4 linked regions of the Drosophila melanogaster genome follow. The protein of the gene in region 4 interacts with the protein of the main gene of each other region in a pairwise test. Each region holds a gene or a part of one and is shown on either strand. Other genes may lie near its edges. The genes, in order: CstF64, CtsK2, GstT2 and Cpr76Ba.

Region 1 (4,878 bases), on a different chromosome or scaffold from region 4:
TGTTGGTGCCAGAAATTACTGTACCAGTCCCTGGGCACATTCTGCGCTCCGATATCAACGTCTTCGGTGAAACGATACCCGATATGCGAAGAATGCGCCGTCCGGCGATCCAAGTGATCAAGTATCCACGGAATGCGTAATGTTTAATCTTAACAAACGCGTCTTTTTACAAAACCAATCCAAATTTATAAAGCTGATAATTTAATAATAAACCCTACTTTTCTTATAGAAAGGTGATTTGGACTGGAAGAACCCTTCGCACATCGTGCATCCTAACTGTTGAAAGTAACTCAATTAAAACCACAAATGTTTTACTATCGGGGGTAGCACAAATAATCAGTAAAAAAACGTTCGTTGGAAGTTTCTTGTAGTGAGTAATTTCTTTAAAAGCCAACAAAATAAAAGCATGATAAAAATAAAATTGTTTCAACAGCGAGTGCATTTCTAATATGATGATTATAATGATTTTGGTTTACCAGTAATTATTTTGTTCTTTAGAAAGCTACCAAATAAGTACAATTAAACATACAAGGCATATTTAATAATTGAGGATCGCAAAGGATCAAAATGAGAGAACAAGAGTCAATAAACTTTTCTAGCACAAAGCAGACCCAACCTCAACACAGTCACCCTTAAAGTCGATTCCACATTTTCGAAATCAGAGGTGCCATTTTAAATCGATTCTATTGATTTAGTAAAGCCATGTCTTATATTCGAATCCGTTCATATTAACCACATTCTCTGAGTAGAGCAACATAAGAATTCTGATTAGAAGGTCCTGTTTGGGCAATGGAAATGGCGGATTGGAATGCCGGTTGCAGATGGGTGAGACAACTTCTGGAGCAGCTTTTTTCTCTCGGGGAGCCAGAGCAGCAGGAAGAAACGGAATCAGAATCGGAAAAAAAGAGGCAACGACCCAGACCCAGCCTGCTGACGAGTTATTGGCCGTTCATCTGGTTTGCCTTTTGCTGCTTGCCTTTTGCGATAACTTTTGCTTTTATTTATAGTCTGTCTGCAGACCAACATTCACTTGTTTCTTTTTTGGGATTTGGCCATCTCTGCAAGGGTGGCTCTTTGTTTTGGGGGCGAAGGACAATGCGAGGGCTGCACATAAACAGCGGCAAACAAATGTCTACGTCTGTTGCTATTGATTTTTCCTTTGCCAAAGGTTACACACACCACGCACACACAACACCCACATGCACACATGCACACACAGACTGTCGAAAAATTGAGGAGCACACGGTGCGTAAATGCATTATGATTTATTCCAGTATCCCAGTTTGCAGCGACAACAATCGCCAGCCAACCTTTTTTCCAGTGTGCACACACGCGCGCTTGTTTGTGTGCGTTAATGTCGCTGATCTTGCCACTTATTGTACGATTTTTTTCTGCTGATTATTATTCACATAATTACAGACACACACAATTTAAAAATGCACATATTTCCGCTTTTGTTCACCAGCCATTGCCATCGATTTCGTTTTCGTTTCGTCCATGGAATGGAATGACACTTCCACAAAGAGAGGACGCCAGCTAATTACCAGTATCGATCGAGAGAGAGAGCGGCTGAGAGCGTATCCTTGGAAATGTAAAGAGCGTGGTGCACCTGCGGCCGCTTAAAGATGAAGAGGAAGTGGAGTTGGAGGAGGAACTGGAACAGGAGGACCAGGAGCCAGGAGGCTCTCTTCTCTTCTTTTTCTCGTTCAATGACACAGAAATCTTTCCTCTCGTCTTCCGCTTTGTGCGCTCCTTCTTCCAATATACAAGCGAGCTTTTTATATGTGCGAGTGCGACTGCGAGGCCATCGCTGCGTTTATCTCCCTCTGTCTGTGTGTGTGTGCGTTTGTGTGTGTTGGAGTGCGTGTGGCTACACACAAAGTAATATTTTCAAGCACGTTTTTCATGCACTTCGAGCCGTTTTTTGTCTATTGCCGCATAGAAAACGAATAAACGCCACTTTCATCTACAATTTGGTGTACAATTCGTGCATATTGGTGCACTTTTCACTATCAAAAACCGTTTAAATCGTTTTCACCTTGCGACAAGAAAAATTACAACACCAGGCGTTGGAGTGCTGCAAAACGTATGCGGGCTGCGGGAACTTACCAGCACTAGCAGTGGTGGTATTTTTGGCTAAGCAGGGCATTTAGCTATTTTCTTGCTAAATACTACGTTTCTAAGTGATGGCAATGGATGAGAATCCCAAAAATTAGACCAATACTGTTAATTATTTTCTCAGGTGTTTAGATAAGAAAATAAAATAAAATGGCTTGCGTATCTGTTATTACACTTTGTTTAATATTTTGCGTCCCATACCGCTTTATTTCCCAAAAAGTATATGAAAAGTATGAATCCCTGGTAAGGGAAATTATTCAAGGAAGAAGAAGAAACAGCAAGCCGGAACGCAGGGAATTTTTTAGACAAGTTTGTCAACGTTTGCTAAGATTTTGTCGAGTTTGTGCAGTAAATAATAACAAACAACAGATATGGCAGATAAGGCGCAGGAACAAAGTATAATGGACAAGTCCATGCGGTCGGTTTTTGTGGGGAACATACCCTACGAGGCCACCGAGGAGAAGCTAAAGGAGATTTTCAGCGAAGTGGGCCCGGTCTTGTCACTGAAGTGAGTTCCCTACTTAGAGCCATGCAATATCTCACTGTAAACCTCCTATTCTCAATCCCCCAGACTGGTCTTTGATCGGGAAAGTGGCAAACCCAAGGGCTTTGGCTTCTGCGAGTACAAGGACCAGGAGACGGCTTTAAGTGCCATGCGGAATCTGAATGGCTATGAGATCGGCGGCAGAACACTGCGAGTGGACAACGCGTGTACGGAGAAGTCGCGCATGGAGATGCAGCAGCTGCTTCAGGGACCCCAGGTGGAGAATCCCTATGGCGAGCCCTGCGAACCAGAGGATGCTCCCGAGCTCATCACCAAAACGGTGGCTTCCTTGCCGCCGGAGCAAATGTACGAGCTGATGAAGCAGATGAAGCTCTGCATCGTGAGCAATCCATCGGAGGCACGCCAGATGCTAATGCTCAATCCTCAGTTGGCGTACGCTTTGCTCCAGGCCATGGTGGTTATGAGGATCGTGGACCCTCAGCAGGCGCTCGGGATGCTCTTCAAGGCCAACCAAATGCCCCCCGTCTTGGGCGGCAATCCGCACCAGGGGCCGGGGAATCACACCATGATGGGTCAGCAACAGGTTCCGCAACAGCAGGTGCAGATCCCGCAGCAACAGCAACAGGCTCCCCAGCCACCAATGCCCGTTCCCGGACCTGGCTTCCCGGCCAATGTCCATCCGAACGATATCGATTTGCGCATGGTGCCGGGTGGACCCATGCCGATGGATCCCAGGATGATGGGCCGTGGCATGGACCAGGATTTGCGAGCTTCTCTACCCAATCCAGTGCCACCGCCGCTGATGGATCCCCGAGCTCGTGCCCAGATGCCCCCACAGCAGCAGCAGGGCGTTCCGCAGGCGCCACCGGCCCCCTATCCCAGCGATCCGCGCCAGCGTCCCATGGATCCCAGGTTAAGGGCAGGACCTGGTCCTCAGCAGCAGGCGCCGCCACAAGGAATCCCCCAAGCGCCGCCACCGACACAACAACAGCAGGCGGCCGCTCAGCAGTTGCAGAGCAGACTAGGCGCCCATGGAGTCCTGCCCTCGGATGCCTCCGACCAGGAGAAGGCTGCCCTCATCATGCAGGTACTGCAGCTGTCCGACGAACAGATTGCGCAGCTGCCCTCCGAGCAACGGGTCAGTATTGTCATGCTCAAAGAGCAGATTGCGAAGAGTACCCAGCGCTGAAACTACTCTGGCTGAAACAAATGAAAAATCACCATTTCGCTCATGCATACTATAGTACTTTCAACATTGAATCAATTAATAAAAAGAACATTTCAACACAAGGAGATTTATTAAGCGGAATAGAATGGTTTTCAAAGAGCGGAGACTAGGGTCTGGTGTAACTTCTGAACCGTCGTATTGAGCATTTGTCGCAGCACATCATCCTCGGCACAGCTGATGGCCTGGAAAGATTGTAGATTAACGATATTTTTCGATTTTAAAAAGCACCTTCGACGAACACTCACCAGGGTTTCCAGATTTATTTCCGCACGTTTACCGCTCACCGTCACTGGCAGCAGATCGCCCTCGAACATTTTTGGCACGCAGTTGTCGCCGAAGGTGTCCTGTAGCGTCTCGATTAGGCACTCCCGAAAGCGCGAGTCCTCTGACTTGGTTTGCTTTGTGGCACCCTTCAGATTTGTTCCGCCCAACTCCGATTGCATGATGCAGGCAAGAACGGCATCGGCGTACACATCATTCACATGCGTCGCTTGCCACTCCATCACAATGATTTTCTGCTCCACAGTTAGCTCGATGCAGCCGAACACGCGCAGCTTTCGCTCCGCCTCCAGCACCTCAACGCATCCGGCTCCAATGCGATCCAGCAGTAGCTCTAGAGTGCTCAGCGAGCTGCCCCAGGGAATCGACTGGCGTTGGGTTACAACAGACATGCTCATATCCGTGTATTCTGTGGGAATTATTTAAATGAATCGACATTTTTACAAAGAAACTAACTAACTATTACTTACTGCCCAGATCAGAAGGAGCCAAGAGGTGGTACTTAAAGTCGCGCTTAACCAGAACACCTGAGAGTTTGCTTCCCACCTCCGAGTTCTTGGCTGCGAGGCTTCCCATCACCTTGGCGGTTTTCTCGCCACGGAAATAAAGATCCACGGCATGTGTGTTTCGCGGGTTGTAGAATTTTATATCCGTGCTTGCATCTGCTTCGTATTCCCGCTGCAGGGCCAACTTCAGACGCGACATCTCGTTCTGCTCGCCGTGGACGAGCACGACATGCGTTGGCTTT
Region 2 (5,448 bases), on a different chromosome or scaffold from region 4:
ATGCGAACGTGGAATTCGAAGTGGTTCGGTATTTGAGGGCATTCTCGGGAGTGGCACGCGCCAAGGCCGACTGCTGCTTGACAGGATGCCAGATCTCTTTCTGGTGCGACTGATGGTTAAAGTTTTCCTTGGTCTCCACGGTGCGTTCGTCTAGGATTTGTCCGTTGCGCGAGACCAGCACCTCCTCCGTGGTGGTCAGAGAGGACTTGACGGTCAACGAGGTCTCTACCTCGATGGGCTGTTGGGCCAATCCGGCGCGGAAGAGCAATTGATTCAGGTGCTCAACCGATGGCATCTGCCCCTCCAGCAAAGCTGCCTTTATGGCACTGGCATCATCCGCCGGCAGCCCATCCAGCTTCACCGGCACTCCGTTGACCAGCAACACCTCCTCCTGCTGCAGCGAGGATGAGGTTTCGCAGTCCACGATCTTGACATCCTTGCCGAACAGGGACTCCACAGCGTTTAGGATATCTTCGTCCATGCTTGGGGCGGGGTTATCGGGGATGGGGAAAGTGCAGACACACGGGGATCTCTGGAGAAACGTGACTATTTGGCTGCGATGGTTGTTAAATGCGTTATGACCACAGGGGGACTCTTTGGATTAGTCGCAATGCACATGCACCACTATCGCGTACATTTCTGGAAAGGAAGGGGCAAGGGGAAACCTCGATTAGCACACACACAGTGGGAGAAAGACAGGTGGCCGGGGGCTTTGGTTTCGTGCGCTCTGGTGACAACGCCCACTTTCCCAAAAGTGGGCTGGTCTCTTCTGATCAGAACATCGCTTCCGGAGCAGACACACCTGCAGGAACACTGTTGCGCGGTGGCCTTCCATCGGACGCACTGCCGCCTTTCGTCACGGCATTCCCCGCCTGCTGCTCATCAAATGTCCGCCGTTTTTTCTGCGCCTAATATAGTTTAATTCGCCAATTGACTTAATTTATTTCTATTATTGTTGTCTCGGTACAGCGATACCATCGATGTTTACACAAATTTGGCAATAATCGATATCCCCAACTGGGGAAATCATCGATTACTTGCTTTCTTGCTGTAAATATCCGCATCTGGCAACGCTTTTAACAGGTTTTAAAATGTCAAGCGTTATTTCCGTTACTATCCCCAAACATTTTTTTAATTTACCCGAATATCTAGATCTTCTTGTTTGGACATAAAGGTCTGGTTATTGTTCACATCAAATTGCTGAACTCCTCTAAAGTTCGTTTAGTGCCCAATTAACCCGTGAATAGTTTTAAATTTCCAAAAGATTCTTGTTTATTCCTCTTTAATTTGTTATCTGTAAATATTTAAGCAAAGCAATGCATTGCATTACTTTCGTTTAACTACTCTAATTTAGCAGCATTATAATTAAGAAAAGACTTTTATTTAAGAAATGGACGCAACCAACGCCAAGTCCACATCACAAACTGCACAGTAAATTTTGCCATAAATTTCGGATTCCCCGCTTAAACCACGGGATAGGAGCACTCCTCAGCAATGAAGCAGTAGTTTTTGCCGCGAGGCAGGCGGAAGTAGCCCTTTTCGCCCCAGGTGTCGTCCCAGGAGTTCTTGACGATCCAGTAATCCTGTCCTTTCTCCGATCCGTAACCGACGACCAGAATGGAGTGGTTCGGCTCGCCCTTGTTGCACTCATCGTCGTTATAGATGCCACCGGCGTAGTTCTTAAGAGTCTCCAAACCATTCACCGAACAGGCAACTGGTCCCAGAGTGGCCACCACCTTCTTCAGCTGCTCCTCGTCCTTGGGCGGAATAGCGGCGAATCCCTGGAGGGTGGCTCCGGACTTGCTGCCATCGTACTTGCACGTGCCCTTGTTGTCAATGTAGGGATAGGCCCCCTCCTGGGACACACCCTTTTGCACCTCATCGATGAAACAGAATGCGGCCTCCTGGAAGCCACCATCGCAGCCATTCAGGCCAAAGTCCTCCACCGGACCACAGTCGACCAGATTCTGCTCAGAGAGATTGGGCAGGCTGCCGGTCTTGCGGAAGGTGTGTCCCTCAATGGCACCAGTGGTGGCAAAGGCCCAACAGGAGCCACAGGTACCCTGGAATTTGACTGGTGTGACACCGCCATGCTCGCGCCAATCGAAGGCATCCGGGATGGGCTTCGCAGGCAGGTTGACCAACTTCAAACTGGCAGCAGCTCGAGCCCTGGGTGCAGATATAGAATTGATAAAATCCTATGCCGGCTGTGCAAATGGTTTGTTAGCACTTACTTAGCCTCCGGACTTCTCTTCAGACCGGTCAATTGACTAAGGAACTCAGAGTGGGTCAGATCGGCGAAGGCGTTCACGGCCTGCTTGAAGGTGTGCACTCCTTGGGCAAAGGCTGCGTTTCCGGCTTCCACCAGGTTCTTGGTGGAAGCGAAGGCACCTTCATGAAGAGCGCGATCAGCGGCGGAGAGATAGGTCTTTCCAGATTGGCTCTGCAAATCGGTTGAAGTTTTACTTCTACCTTTGAAATTGATCAATGCTGCCTATCTCACCAAGAAGTCACCAAAGTCCTGGACGTTTGAGAGCAGCGGCACCTTGGGCACAGCCTTGGCAATGTTGCCCACGGCATTCTGAACGGCGCCGGCCACATTTTGTAAAGCTCCACCCACTCGATTGTTGCCCAAGCCTCCGAGTCCACCTCCAAATCCGCCTCCGAGTCCACCTCCAAATCCGCCTCCAAATCCACCGCCTCCGAATCCCTGGCCAGAGACCACAGCCACCAGAAGTGGAAGAACCAACAGAAGCTTCATACTGATCTGCCAAAAGACGAAACTATTAGTTCCGACTGGTTTTGTAGTCGAAGGGTGAAACGGCGATGCACTAATTATATTTGATTGCATATGATCGGCTTATCAGCCGATTTGCTTGTCTATTGCAAATACGAGATACTATTGCACAAATTTTTCTGATGCGAGTAATCGCAAGTAATTCCCAATAGACTAACCTAACGCGCTCGCACGGTCCACACAAATGTTTTTGTCTCGACCGTCGATCGGGGCTTATATAGCCATTAGACTAGTAGGTTTCAGGCTATAAACTGGCCAACCTCGCCCCCACCCGATCCATTCAAATCCATAAATCCCAAGTCCAGTGATTCGGAATTATACAGAAATCGAAACGCGTTGATTATACCATGCATATCGTATACGAGTATGTGCTATATCTGTTTTGATGTGTGCGATCCGACCGATCCAGCGATATTCGCCGTGTGGTTTGGGAACTCGTCTCGGTTCATTAGCGCCATGCAAGATGGTTCGGAATATGGGAGAGTATTAGAATTTAATCTATTTTGGTCCAGATTGGGTGTGTTTAATAAAGTGGATAAATCTTGATTATTTGACTTTTATGTGATAGAACGATTACGCATTTGGGCTGCTTTCTATCTGAATGCATTCGTATATTTGATCGCACGGATTCTCGTTTGCAATTAACACTTTTAATCACTTCTCAAGTCACTTTTTGATAACGTATGCTTTCAGGAAAAACCGGAACTCGACGAAAACCCGTTGTTAAATTCGTGTAAATTAGGTATTACGTGAAGTGCATGGAGTATATTTTGAAGCTTAAAAGCAAAACCCGCTTGAGTTCCGTTTCCAATTAATTATAACACCGTTGAGTGACGATCTGTATCGGTTCAAGCGATTATTAATTATGTCAATCAACCTTTGTGGACGATGGACTTGGATCCACTTTTTTGGGGCCATCCCAATTCCCGATCTTTTATAGCCTACCCAATTTGTAATAGTGTCGTGACTAATTAATGTGTTTTGTATGGATTGACATAGTCATGCATGCATATTAAACAAATATATTAATTTGCATTTTAATTTAACACGTCGGTTCCACAATTTTTTTCGGGTTTTGAAACAGTAGCTACGTTAAAATGAAATCTAAATAGCTTTGCTAGAATACTTTTGAGATGTAATAAATTCGTCGTTTGTGCCTTGGGGGATCCCCAATCAGTTTGGGAAAACAAGTTTTTTATCTAAATTAGGTGACTATGGATTAATTATGTCAACTAGGCAATGAATATTCATCAAGTTTCTGCTTATTTCTGGTAAAGGGCCAATCATAGGATTTGTTTTCAATTAAATATTGTCTGCACGTGTTTTTCTATAAGAGATTCAAATTAGGAATGATTGTTTTTTTTCTAGAAATATTTATCTTCAATATTTAGTAACTTGGGAAACTGCTCAAGCACTCATACTGCTCATTCGTCATTGATTGTAATACATACACATACATATATGGGAAACTAGTATCTTTGATAAATTCAGAAATAAATTTAAATAAAAATGGGTCTTGATTAATAGCAAAAGAACCAACAAACAGTAGCTCCATCTGAACTGCCAGAGAAACAGGTGCTATAATTCGTTGAGTATCAAACTGGTTAATAAAGAACTTAATTTAAAGTTCTTCAGCTACAATCAAACAATTTATTTGCATTGCCTTACTTGTTTTATATCTGGCACAGAAATTAATGTTTTAAATTAAATAAGTTATTAGTTAAGCATTAGTTAGTGCCATTAAGCACGCCATATATATATGTTGTAATGTTTGATTAGCGAAATTTATCAAAAACTCAATAAAATATAGCACGCGAAAAAAACTGGTTGCATTTTGTAAATTTGTAAGCAAGATTAAATTATGTTTCGTCCTTCTCCAAAGTAAATTAATGTTTTTGTACCTAATTTTTGTGAACTTCATGTTCAATTAATTCGAATGAAGGCCAAATTTAGTTATTAGAATGTAAGCTATTTTATAGCGAGTTAGTGCTATGTTTCTTAACTTATATTTCAGAAATTCCTTGACTTTTCTAATGTTTTGCTAAATATAATTCGCATCTATAAGATGTCAACGAAACAGATTGTCTTACGAACATATACTTATTAAATTTAAATAATAAATAGGTATTCCTTGGCATCTATCCACTCTTGCGATGTTTGGCTAGTCGGGGGCGCGACTCCTGGGCTTCGTGAATGGGCGTGGCCTCTGGCAGAAAGATAATGGGTTTTCGCAAATCAACCGGAGGTTGCGCCCAATTCTTCGTCATAGGGAAGCGCTGAGTGCACATATATGAAAATGCATAGAATTAACAAAACATCTTGGCTTCTCCGAGGAATACTTACCCCACTGGGTCCATTTACAGATCCATGTCCCACCTGGGGAAGGGCCACTGAAAGAGCCAAAGTGGCCAGGAAAGTTAAAGCCAGGAGTACTTTCATTGTGTGGTTAGTTGCAAAGGATATGGTTTTCAAGGCAAGCGTTTGGATTGCACTGATACTGCATACCGGCGAGATTCCCTTATATAATCGCACCAAGTCGGAACTTTCGCCAGCGCTTTCAACTTCCGCAACTTCCGGGTTTTATCTTCCAACTCAATCGCATTCGGGCTGTTTAAAAATACTCCTCTTATCGGCTGGCACTTTTGCTTTCT
Region 3 (4,496 bases), on a different chromosome or scaffold from region 4:
TGGTCGCCTTCCTGCGTGGCTGCAAATACAGCTTGGAGAAAACCAAACTCAAGTTGGACAACTTCTATGCGATGAGGGGAGCCGTGCCCGAGCTCTACAAGAATCGCATTGTGGGTGAGAAGCAGCTCAGCATTCTGGACACAGGGTGAGATCTACTTGAGGTTGTAAAAAGAATGTTTCCTCATAATTTATTCAAATTGCAGTTGCCTCCTCCGATTGCCGCAGCCACTGCAGGCTGATGGTCCTCGCATCCACATCTCCCGCTACGGTCAATACGACTCGAAGAAGTACTCCATTGCCGAGGTTGTCCAGGTAAACACGATGCTCGGCGAGATTCAGATAAGGGAAGACGACAATGCTATGATATCCGGCTTTGTGGAGATCATCGACATGAAGGGCGTTGGGGCAGGTCACCTATTCCAGTTCGACGCGGTGCTGGTCAAGAAACTGGCCGTTTTGGGCGACAAAGCGTATCCCTACAGGCCCAAGGGTTTTCACTTTGTAAATGCGCCCTCCAGTGCAGAGAAGTTCATGTCCATTGCCAAGAGCCTGATGAGCGAAAAGATTCGGAAACGGGTGAGTTTATCAAACATGTCACAAAAGTGTAACCACTATGGAACATTTTCTACCCGTCTAGTTTCATATACACTCCAAACTGGACAGTCTCTACAAGTATGTGCCCAAGGAATGCTTGCCAGCTGAGTATGGGGGCAGCAATGGAACCATCCAGGACGTCGTCAGTACATGGAGGACCAAGCTCCTGGCCTACAAGCCATTCTTTGAGGAGGAGGCTTCTTATGGCACGAATGAAAAGCTACGGCGAGGACAGCCCGTTAGCGCCGAATCACTTTTTGGAATCGAAGGATCCTTCAGAAAACTAGACATCGACTAGTCTAGTGCGTAACATATAAAACGTAGTGATTTTTAATCTTTGTACGAACACAAACAAATCAAAACTAAACAACATAAAACTATACGAATTTGGTTAAATAGTAAGTGGTAAGTACTTGAGTCCTTACAACTTTGCCGCCGTCGATTGCTTAGATTTTCGGTCAATAAAAGTCAGTCCCTCGTCATGGTAGGGATTTGCGGATACCCTTACGCGTTCCAACCATTTGACCACCTTTGGGAACTTTTTCTCGTCCACTCTGTATTGGCAGAGCCCTTAAATACAATAAAAATAATTAGTTTCGTTAAGTTATCTCCACACTAGTTTAACACACTCAGCTGGTTGATTTCGGAAGAGCCAAGGATATCAGCCATTGTCAGGTTTTTCCCAACCAAAAAATCATTTTCCAGCCACAGGCGCTCCAGTAAACCCAGATTGTTTTCCACTCCCTCAATCAGTGCTTGAATCTGCTCTGGCTTGGGCTTGGGCGCTATCCCGTTCATGGGAAACAGCCAGGCATCTCGAAAGTACATGGAACATGCAAGACGAATGTTCAGGTGTTGCCACTCAAGGAACTCATCCACTCGGGCACGGTTCTCCAGCGTCTTTGGGTAGAGCTTCTCATCGAACTGACCTTTGTCTGCGAGATATCTGCAAGGGGGCAATGTACGATCCAAATGTGAGATTGCTTTCCAATGATGGCCTTCCCATACCTTATAATCGCTATGGTCTCAGACAAATGGAAGTCCCCACCCACAATGGCGGGCACCTTCTGGAATCGATTGATCTTCTTGTACTCGTCGGTCAATTGCTCAACTAATAAAACATAAATGAGTCGGGGCAGTTTAGATGATTACTTTGACTCACATTTTCGCAGGGCAATCGGGCAATACTCAACGGGTGAGTTGCTGAATTTTAAACCAATCCATAGACCACGGGCGATCGGGGACAACAAATCGTAATAGAATCTAATTGGCTTGGACATGGTGGTCAATTGCTCCCGTTCCTCAGCCCCAACTTCCAAACAGCCGGCAAAAACGAATATCTTCAGCTGGAAAATGAGAAATTGAGCAAAGCTCCAGTCAAAAGATCTTGAGTGTCACCTTGCAACACTGGTTTTATGCTATTATAGTTGTCCCGCTTTAGGAGGCAAATTCAAAAGTGGCTCCCAACTTCAAAGATAGTTATATTATATAAAGCGAACATATGAAACTATTATTGATCCGATATCACCCCTTTTCATAGTCTCTAATTATTTTAACATTTAGGAGTTTTGCAGCGCAGAACTGAACACAATAAACATCAGATAAGGCACAAAAATGTTTTAAAATCCTAATAAATGCAATGAACAAAGAAATCAGTCAAAATCGAAAAGAAATCAGTTTTTGGCCTTGACTGCCTGCTGAGAGGTCTTGTAGACGAAGCTGTGGGCCTCATCGTAGTAGGGATTGGTAGCATCACGAACGCGTTCCATCCACTTGGCCACCTTGGGGAATTGCTTCTCATTTACGTTGTACTGGCAGAGCTCTAAATTACAAATCGTTATTATTAGAATTTATTTTAGATACAGCAGTGGGCTCAGTCTTACTCATCTGATTAATTTCTGAAGACCCGAAGATGTCTGCCACGGTAAGTTTGTCGCCGACTAAGAAGTCCTTTTCCAGCCAGAGGCGTTCCAGTAGACCCAAATTACTCTCCACATCCTTGATTAGCTTCTTGACAGACTCTGGCTTGGGAGCCGGCGCCAGTCCCTTTGCCGGAAGAAGCCACACCTGACGGAAGAACAGGGAGCAGACCAAGCGGACATTGAAATGCTGCCACTCGAGGAACTCGTCCACCCGCGCGCGTTCCTCCAAGGTTTTGGGGTACAGCTGTTCACTGAAGACTCCCTTGTCCGCGAGATATCTGAAATGTGTCATTTATCTATAGTATTAACCTGGCAATCCGAGCTCTGGATACTTGAACTTACCGCACTATGGAGACACTCTCGCCCAACTGAAATTTACCATCCACGATGGCCGGCACCTTTTGGAACCGATTTATACTGCGATATTCGTCGGTCAATTGCTCCTCTGGAATATAACCATCCCAAATGTTAGAAGATCTTTATACCTTATATACATGTGTAACTTGTTATTTATTCTTACGTTTTCGCAGGGCAACCGGGCAGTCTTCAAATGGGGTCTTGCCCAATTTCATAGCAATCCAGAGGGCGCGGGATGGCTGCGATAGGAAATCGTAATAATACTTAATAGCCTTCGACATCTTGGCAATTAATTAATCAGTTAGCTTCAGGAAGCCCGGTAAACACGAAAACAAAATATATTTGTTGTCGCTGATGAAATGTCAAAAAGCTCAAAGCAAAAAGCTTTATTCCGGTCCAAAGTTCAAACTGGTCGCTTTTCAACACTGTACCCAAAATGATATTGCCATCCCATCCCATTCTATGGGGAATCCGAGAAGGGCGGGCAAATATATAAGTTCAAAATAATCAGGTGGTGGTAAGAAGTCAGATAAAATATACCAATGATCAATAAAATTAAATGCTGTAGCCTTGCTTTTGTCATAACCGAAAGCTTATCGATTTCACTTATCGGAATCTCAGTTCAAACAGCGATATGTCAACCAGTCATCAAGAACCACAAAGCGTTTATCTCGACCAGATAAACACATTACCCTTACCCCATTTATGAAGAAGGCAACCCCAAGTAATACCATTTATGTTTTAGTTATACCGACATTTAAACAAATTCGCTTTAATTTATTAACGCACTCAACATGGGGTCTACAGTACATTGTCACATTTAAATATAGTCATTTAACTATGTATGTATTATCCATAAATATAGAGATGCATGTATATGTATGTGTAAACTAGTATCAAAAATTAGTAAAAACGACACTTAACCAACTGAAAAATTATCCAAAATATATATGTATGCTCATGTACCGTATTTATAAAAGTATGCGATAAAATCAAAGCCAACAACAACTTAGCACGCAAGTAGAAGACGTTGAAGATTTCATCATGAAAATGCATTATGGGATCATGGTAGAATGAATCGTTCGACCGGACGTTAGAATGTGTATAAGTATGTGCGTGGATAAGGACAGCAATAAATTAAAATCGACAAACTTGTGAGGTTTTTGTGCCATTTGATGGCGATCCATTTGCTTCTTATTTCGTTTTAGTGTGCACTTGTCGTCTATAATATTGTTCAATTTGCTTTTAGTTTCGATGTTCCTCCCTTATGGTTTCATTTATAAAATATCAGGTTCTGCTATGACCAAAGATCGCTTTAGCGCTGTAGTGTCTATACATTCCAGTGTGTATATATCGGGCTGTGTGTTAAATGGGTGTTCTATAGGATGTGCATCAGAATATACAACTAACTGCCCGATCATTGACTCAATCGAAGTTAATCATTCGGAAGGTTCCGTCGTTCGGAACGTCGGTTACTAACGGAGCACCCCTTTCCTGATCCTTCTCACTGGCTTCCCGCAATTTCTCATCCACGCCATATCGCTCGTCTTCCGTGAAGTACGGGGAAAAGCTTAGCAGCTGGGTCTCGTAGCGCGTCATTGCATCAGACAAAGATCCATTATC
Region 4 (4,383 bases):
TGTGGTGGCAGTCTTATCCTCGGAGCATTGGAAGTGGAATTTTCCCGGGGCGGCTACTTCAATCATTTCGGACCTCGGGATGCCTGACCTCAGGCATTCAGCTCGGTTTTCCACCGACTCCGGCGATTGCGTTCTGGGCAAACAGCCCTCCCAGATTTATGGGACCGCAAAACTTTGCTTCACGGCATAAATTAATGTTTAATTGATGAATTTATATGACGAGGGCACGATGCTCGGGCTTACATTGGACAGCATTCCATCATTGTGCGGGCCAGATGTCAAAGTTTATTCGCGGTCGCTTTAAAGACAATTATTTTCAAGATGTCAAAAACACAAGCTCTTAGTATCAATAATACACAATTCAAAGAAATACAAAGTTTTCCGACAATTATTGTGGAAGTAAATTAAAGTTAAAAATATTTATCGTTTTTAATTTTAACAGAATGAACTGCCTTGCATGTAACAAACCGCTTTGCCGGATGTAAGCAGTGCAACCCGAAGTTCTGTAAATTTCCGACAGGGGTCTCAGTTTTCGACATTTTTGACACTGTGTACGAAGCAATGTTTGTAAAGTAGATGTTGTATGTATTTTACACTGTGCTACAAAGTTCTACACTTTTTGTTATACAATAGATACAATTATTAGGGAAGTGTGGAAATTTTTTGAAAATAACATGTGTTTTGCTGTACTCATTATTTTAATTTAGTTCAACGTACACAAATGGTAAATTTAAGCTGACCAGGCTAGGCACTTTTTAAGATCTTATGTGGTCACCTATAGCTTTCTACTACTTATCAACTCAATTGGAAAATAGGCAATAAATAGGATTTCTCAGGCGTTGTTTCTCTGTCTCAGCAGATTAATAATATCAAAAATGGGAGGTCCGAAAAAACTTTCAATGGCATTCGTTTCGAAGTCAATGACTCTGGGCATCGAGATCGAGTCGAATAAGCAGGGGAACTTAAGTAACGACAGCGACGGCGATGTAGATGAATTAAAAAATTGTGAAAATCAGGAATATCTTTACCATCTTTACCATATCTTTACCGGACTCTGATGATAACTTTTGGAAGGACTTTTCTGAACAAGCCGAAGCCTTCAAAGTCCTTAGAAAAGATGTGCGTAAGATCTTCCGAACCTCCTTATGTGAGCTAGAATACAAAAAGGCTGCAAGACACTAAGGCCTCAACATCCTCCGTATCGAATGTATCTTAGAATTATTGGATCGGTAAGTTGTTTCTCTCATTTAATAAACGGTGTTCGTTGTGGTCTTAAATCTCAGAACTATTGTAAAAACTTTAAATAGTAAAGTAGTTTGATTTGTAGCTTTTTTCTGCACTTTGATATATTTACCTACTATTTAAGTTAACAATTTTGTAGTTCTATTTACAATAATTAAGTCGGTCCGAATCGCTTGCAGTCAGTCAGTTAGGTCAGCTCCTCTACCACCACTTGTTGCTCTTGTCCTCCCATTTGCTGCTGGTGTCCTGTTTGACATCCACGTAGCTGGTGGCATGACCATGCCCATGTCCGTATTGCTGGCCATATGAGTGGCTGTGCTCCAAGTGACTGGCGTGTCCCACATGCTTCACGGTTGCCTGGAATCCGTTGTGGGAGTCGGCGGTGTACTCAACGATCCTGGTGCGTCCGTCGGCCTCCTTCATGGTGTAGCCTCCCTTGACCTTGTCGCCATCGCGGGTCTCCCACTGCTGCTTGATGTCGCCGGTCTTGGTGTCCTTCACCCCGTAATTGAATTCGTATTTGGGATGGTGTTTGGGTTCCTCGTGGTGGCTCCACTGGTGGTGGCTATCGTGCGCAGCGACTGGAGCCCACTGCTGGTGGTGATGATCCTGAACTGTGCCCCATGAATGGGCCTTTGGGACATCCACCCATTGGTGGTGAGCCTGGTGGTGATCCTGCCACTGCTTGGGCGCCTCGTGATGCGTCTGGATGCTGTACCCCACGCCGTGTTCGTGACTATATCCACCATGAGGGATGTAGCTAGCAGCAGCCACTCCCAGAAGTGCGCAGCAGAGGATGCTCAATTGGTGGGCCATTTTCGTTGGTTTCTGATTGACTTGCCTGGCCTAAATCACGATTGGAACTGTTATAATCACCAGACAATGCCCAATGCTTTTATACTTCTGGCCATTCTATGGATCGATTAATTACATTTTAGACTGCGGGCTAAATAGGCTAGAAAAAAGTAAGAGCCCCAAAAATGGGTATAAAAAATGCTTCGAATTTTTGTGCAAATTTTCATTTTTCCCCATTCGTATTCATAGTCTTGGGCGGTCGGTCGATTGGCAAATTAAAACTTGCCAGAAACAACAACATCATCATTAAGCGGGGCGTGAACATCGCTCAAATGCTTGAAAAACGCAAAGCTTTTCGATTTTGTTGCTTAGAAATCAATCAACAAGTGTGGCCCGCTTTCAAATTGCTCAGCAATAGCCGCCTCGCCTCGCCTCGCTGCGTTTCCACGGTTGGACCCTCTTTTTCGCCTACTTCACTCCAAATGACCTTGAGACGGACGGTGCGGTAAGGGGCTGAGAAGGGGAGGGCAGCGTTGGGCGGACCGTCCAATCGGTTGGTGTTTCTGACCAGGGGGTCTGCTGTGGGGCACCCAGAGCTTCCGAATTGGTGTTAACTTACCGATAGTGTTTTTTAATGCATATAATTTACAAGGCTAATAGACTTTAAGCTCGGAAATTTGAAATGCGTGAAAATATAAGCATATTGGTATTTAGCCTACGTTATCTGATGTTAATTATTTTTAAGACGTTTATTTGCATAAATTGTTTCGCTATCTATAGGAATAACATGCATATTAAATAAAAAGAAATCCTGTAGTTCAAGTTTTAAAACTACTAATAACTATATAATAAATATAATGTTGAAGCCAACAGATTTCTAGGAAAAACACATAATTATTTATAGCAAAATAGGTTCGCTTTGGATATTTACATAAGGATTTCAAAGTACAACACTACAAAGTTTATTTATTGGTTAGTTTAACAGCATTTCCTTATTTCTTCAAGCAAAAGCTGCCGCCTTCATCAGTTCACATTCTCAGTCATAATTAATTTTTGTAAATTAAGCAATAAGTTCTTGCCTTAGTTTTTCCCTTCTCTTTGACTGAATACCAAACACATCGAACGATCTAACAAAAACTTTTTGGATCTGATATTATTAATTATTACTAGCAGAATTTAATTGTAACGGATTGGACTTTAAATAAAATGTGCCGATTTTCTATAGAGCTCAATGGCCGAAACAATAATAATAAGTACGAGTTAGTGAGGTAATTATCAAATCAGCTAGCTCGATTGGTGAATGGTGTGGCCAAGAGAATGACCACCCGATGGTTGATTGCCCCAGAGTCTTCGATAGCTATATATAGTCTAGGTGAGCTCCCCAAGAACCAGCAGACATCATCAAAGTTCCGATTGGAAAACAGCGAATAAGTGACCGATATGAAATCCTTTAGCGGAGGTCTGTTCTTTGCCCTTCTGGTGGGAGCCAGTTGGGCAGCTCCCCATGGTGGACACGCCACCAGCTACAGTTCGGTGACCAAGCACGAAGGACCCGTCCACAAGAGCCTGGGCTACGGATACGATCACGATGTGGTCAGCGCTTACGGTGGCATCTACGGACACGGCTATCCGAGTGTCGGCCATTCGGGCTACGGATACGGATACGACAAGCACGAGCCCCATCACTATCCCAAGTACCAATTCGACTACGGCGTCAAGGATGCCCACACCGGAGACCAGAAGAGCCAGTGGGAGACGCGGGATGGCGACAAGGTCAAGGGCAGCTACTCCCTCAAGGAATCGGATGGCACCACCCGAGTGGTGGAGTACACCGCCGATGACCACAATGGCTTCAACGCAGTGGTAAAGAAGCTCGGCCACGCCCACCACCCCCAGGTCTACCACAAGGGCTACGGACACGGCGATATCTACGACGCCGACTACGGCTACGGTCACGATGTGGCGCAATATGGCGGATACGGATACGGACACGGAGGCCACGCCAGTAGCTACGTAAGCGTGAAGCAGCTGCACTAAGCAACCAAAATGCGGACTCACCCGGCGAAAACGATCTGGAATCATCATTAGTTAACAATGCAACGAACTTACCTAACTAAAGCCAACTTTTTACAAGTGTAGTATTGACGATATTTATATTTGTATTGAAATAAATAAGCGTAGCTGTTTATAATCAAGAAGGGACGACATTTACTATTTATACAATTATAAATTATTATAAATTATTTATACCTTTATCTACTAGATAGAAAAGGTTAGTAAATACCTTATGAGACAGAAATATCTTATTAAGGTATGAAAAATATATGGAAATGCATTAAAAAGTGG

What was found.
Region 1: the proteins of Cpr76Ba (region 4) and CstF64 interact in a two-hybrid assay, tested with the Drosophila melanogaster proteins (one large-scale study listed by BioGRID).
Region 2: the proteins of Cpr76Ba (region 4) and CtsK2 interact in a two-hybrid assay, tested with the Drosophila melanogaster proteins (one large-scale study listed by BioGRID).
Region 3: the proteins of Cpr76Ba (region 4) and GstT2 interact in a two-hybrid assay, tested with the Drosophila melanogaster proteins (one large-scale study listed by BioGRID).

What each region holds. Positions count from the first base shown.
Region 1 is NT_033777.3:18,657,216-18,662,093, forward strand, and holds CstF64 (cleavage stimulation factor 64 kD subunit), read left to right. Parts: upstream 1-2,402; 5' UTR 2,403-2,489; coding exon 2,490-2,626; intron 2,627-2,689; coding exon 2,690-3,812; 3' UTR 3,813-3,911; downstream 3,912-4,878. Other genes in the region: Cpsf73 (cleavage and polyadenylation specificity factor 73), read right to left, coding at 3,944-4,033, 4,097-4,539, 4,601-4,878.
Region 2 is NT_033778.4:17,509,771-17,515,218, reverse strand, and holds CtsK2 (cathepsin K2), read right to left. Parts: upstream 2,990-5,448; 5' UTR 2,852-2,989; coding exon 2,504-2,851; intron 2,444-2,503; coding exon 2,235-2,443; intron 2,170-2,234; coding exon 1,464-2,169; 3' UTR 1,364-1,463; downstream 1-1,363. Other genes in the region: CG4853 (uncharacterized protein), read right to left, coding at 1-481; CG34193 (uncharacterized protein), read right to left, coding at 4,936-5,073, 5,141-5,236.
Region 3 is NT_033778.4:9,604,745-9,609,240, reverse strand, and holds GstT2 (glutathione S transferase T2), read right to left. Parts: upstream 1,950-4,496; 5' UTR 1,875-1,949; coding exon 1,757-1,874; intron 1,706-1,756; coding exon 1,603-1,705; intron 1,541-1,602; coding exon 1,224-1,540; intron 1,165-1,223; coding exon 1,016-1,164; 3' UTR 893-1,015; downstream 1-892. Other genes in the region: CG12926 (uncharacterized protein), read left to right, coding at 1-145, 204-576, 638-892; GstT1 (glutathione S transferase T1), read right to left, coding at 2,268-2,416, 2,478-2,794, 2,859-2,961, 3,037-3,154; CG1902 (uncharacterized protein), read right to left, coding at 4,299-4,496.
Region 4 is NT_037436.4:19,516,218-19,520,600, forward strand, and holds Cpr76Ba (cuticular protein 76Ba), read right to left. Parts: upstream 2,116-4,383; 5' UTR 2,059-2,115; coding exon 1,444-2,058; 3' UTR 1,335-1,443; downstream 1-1,334. Other genes in the region: Cpr76Bb (cuticular protein 76Bb), read left to right, coding at 3,478-4,074.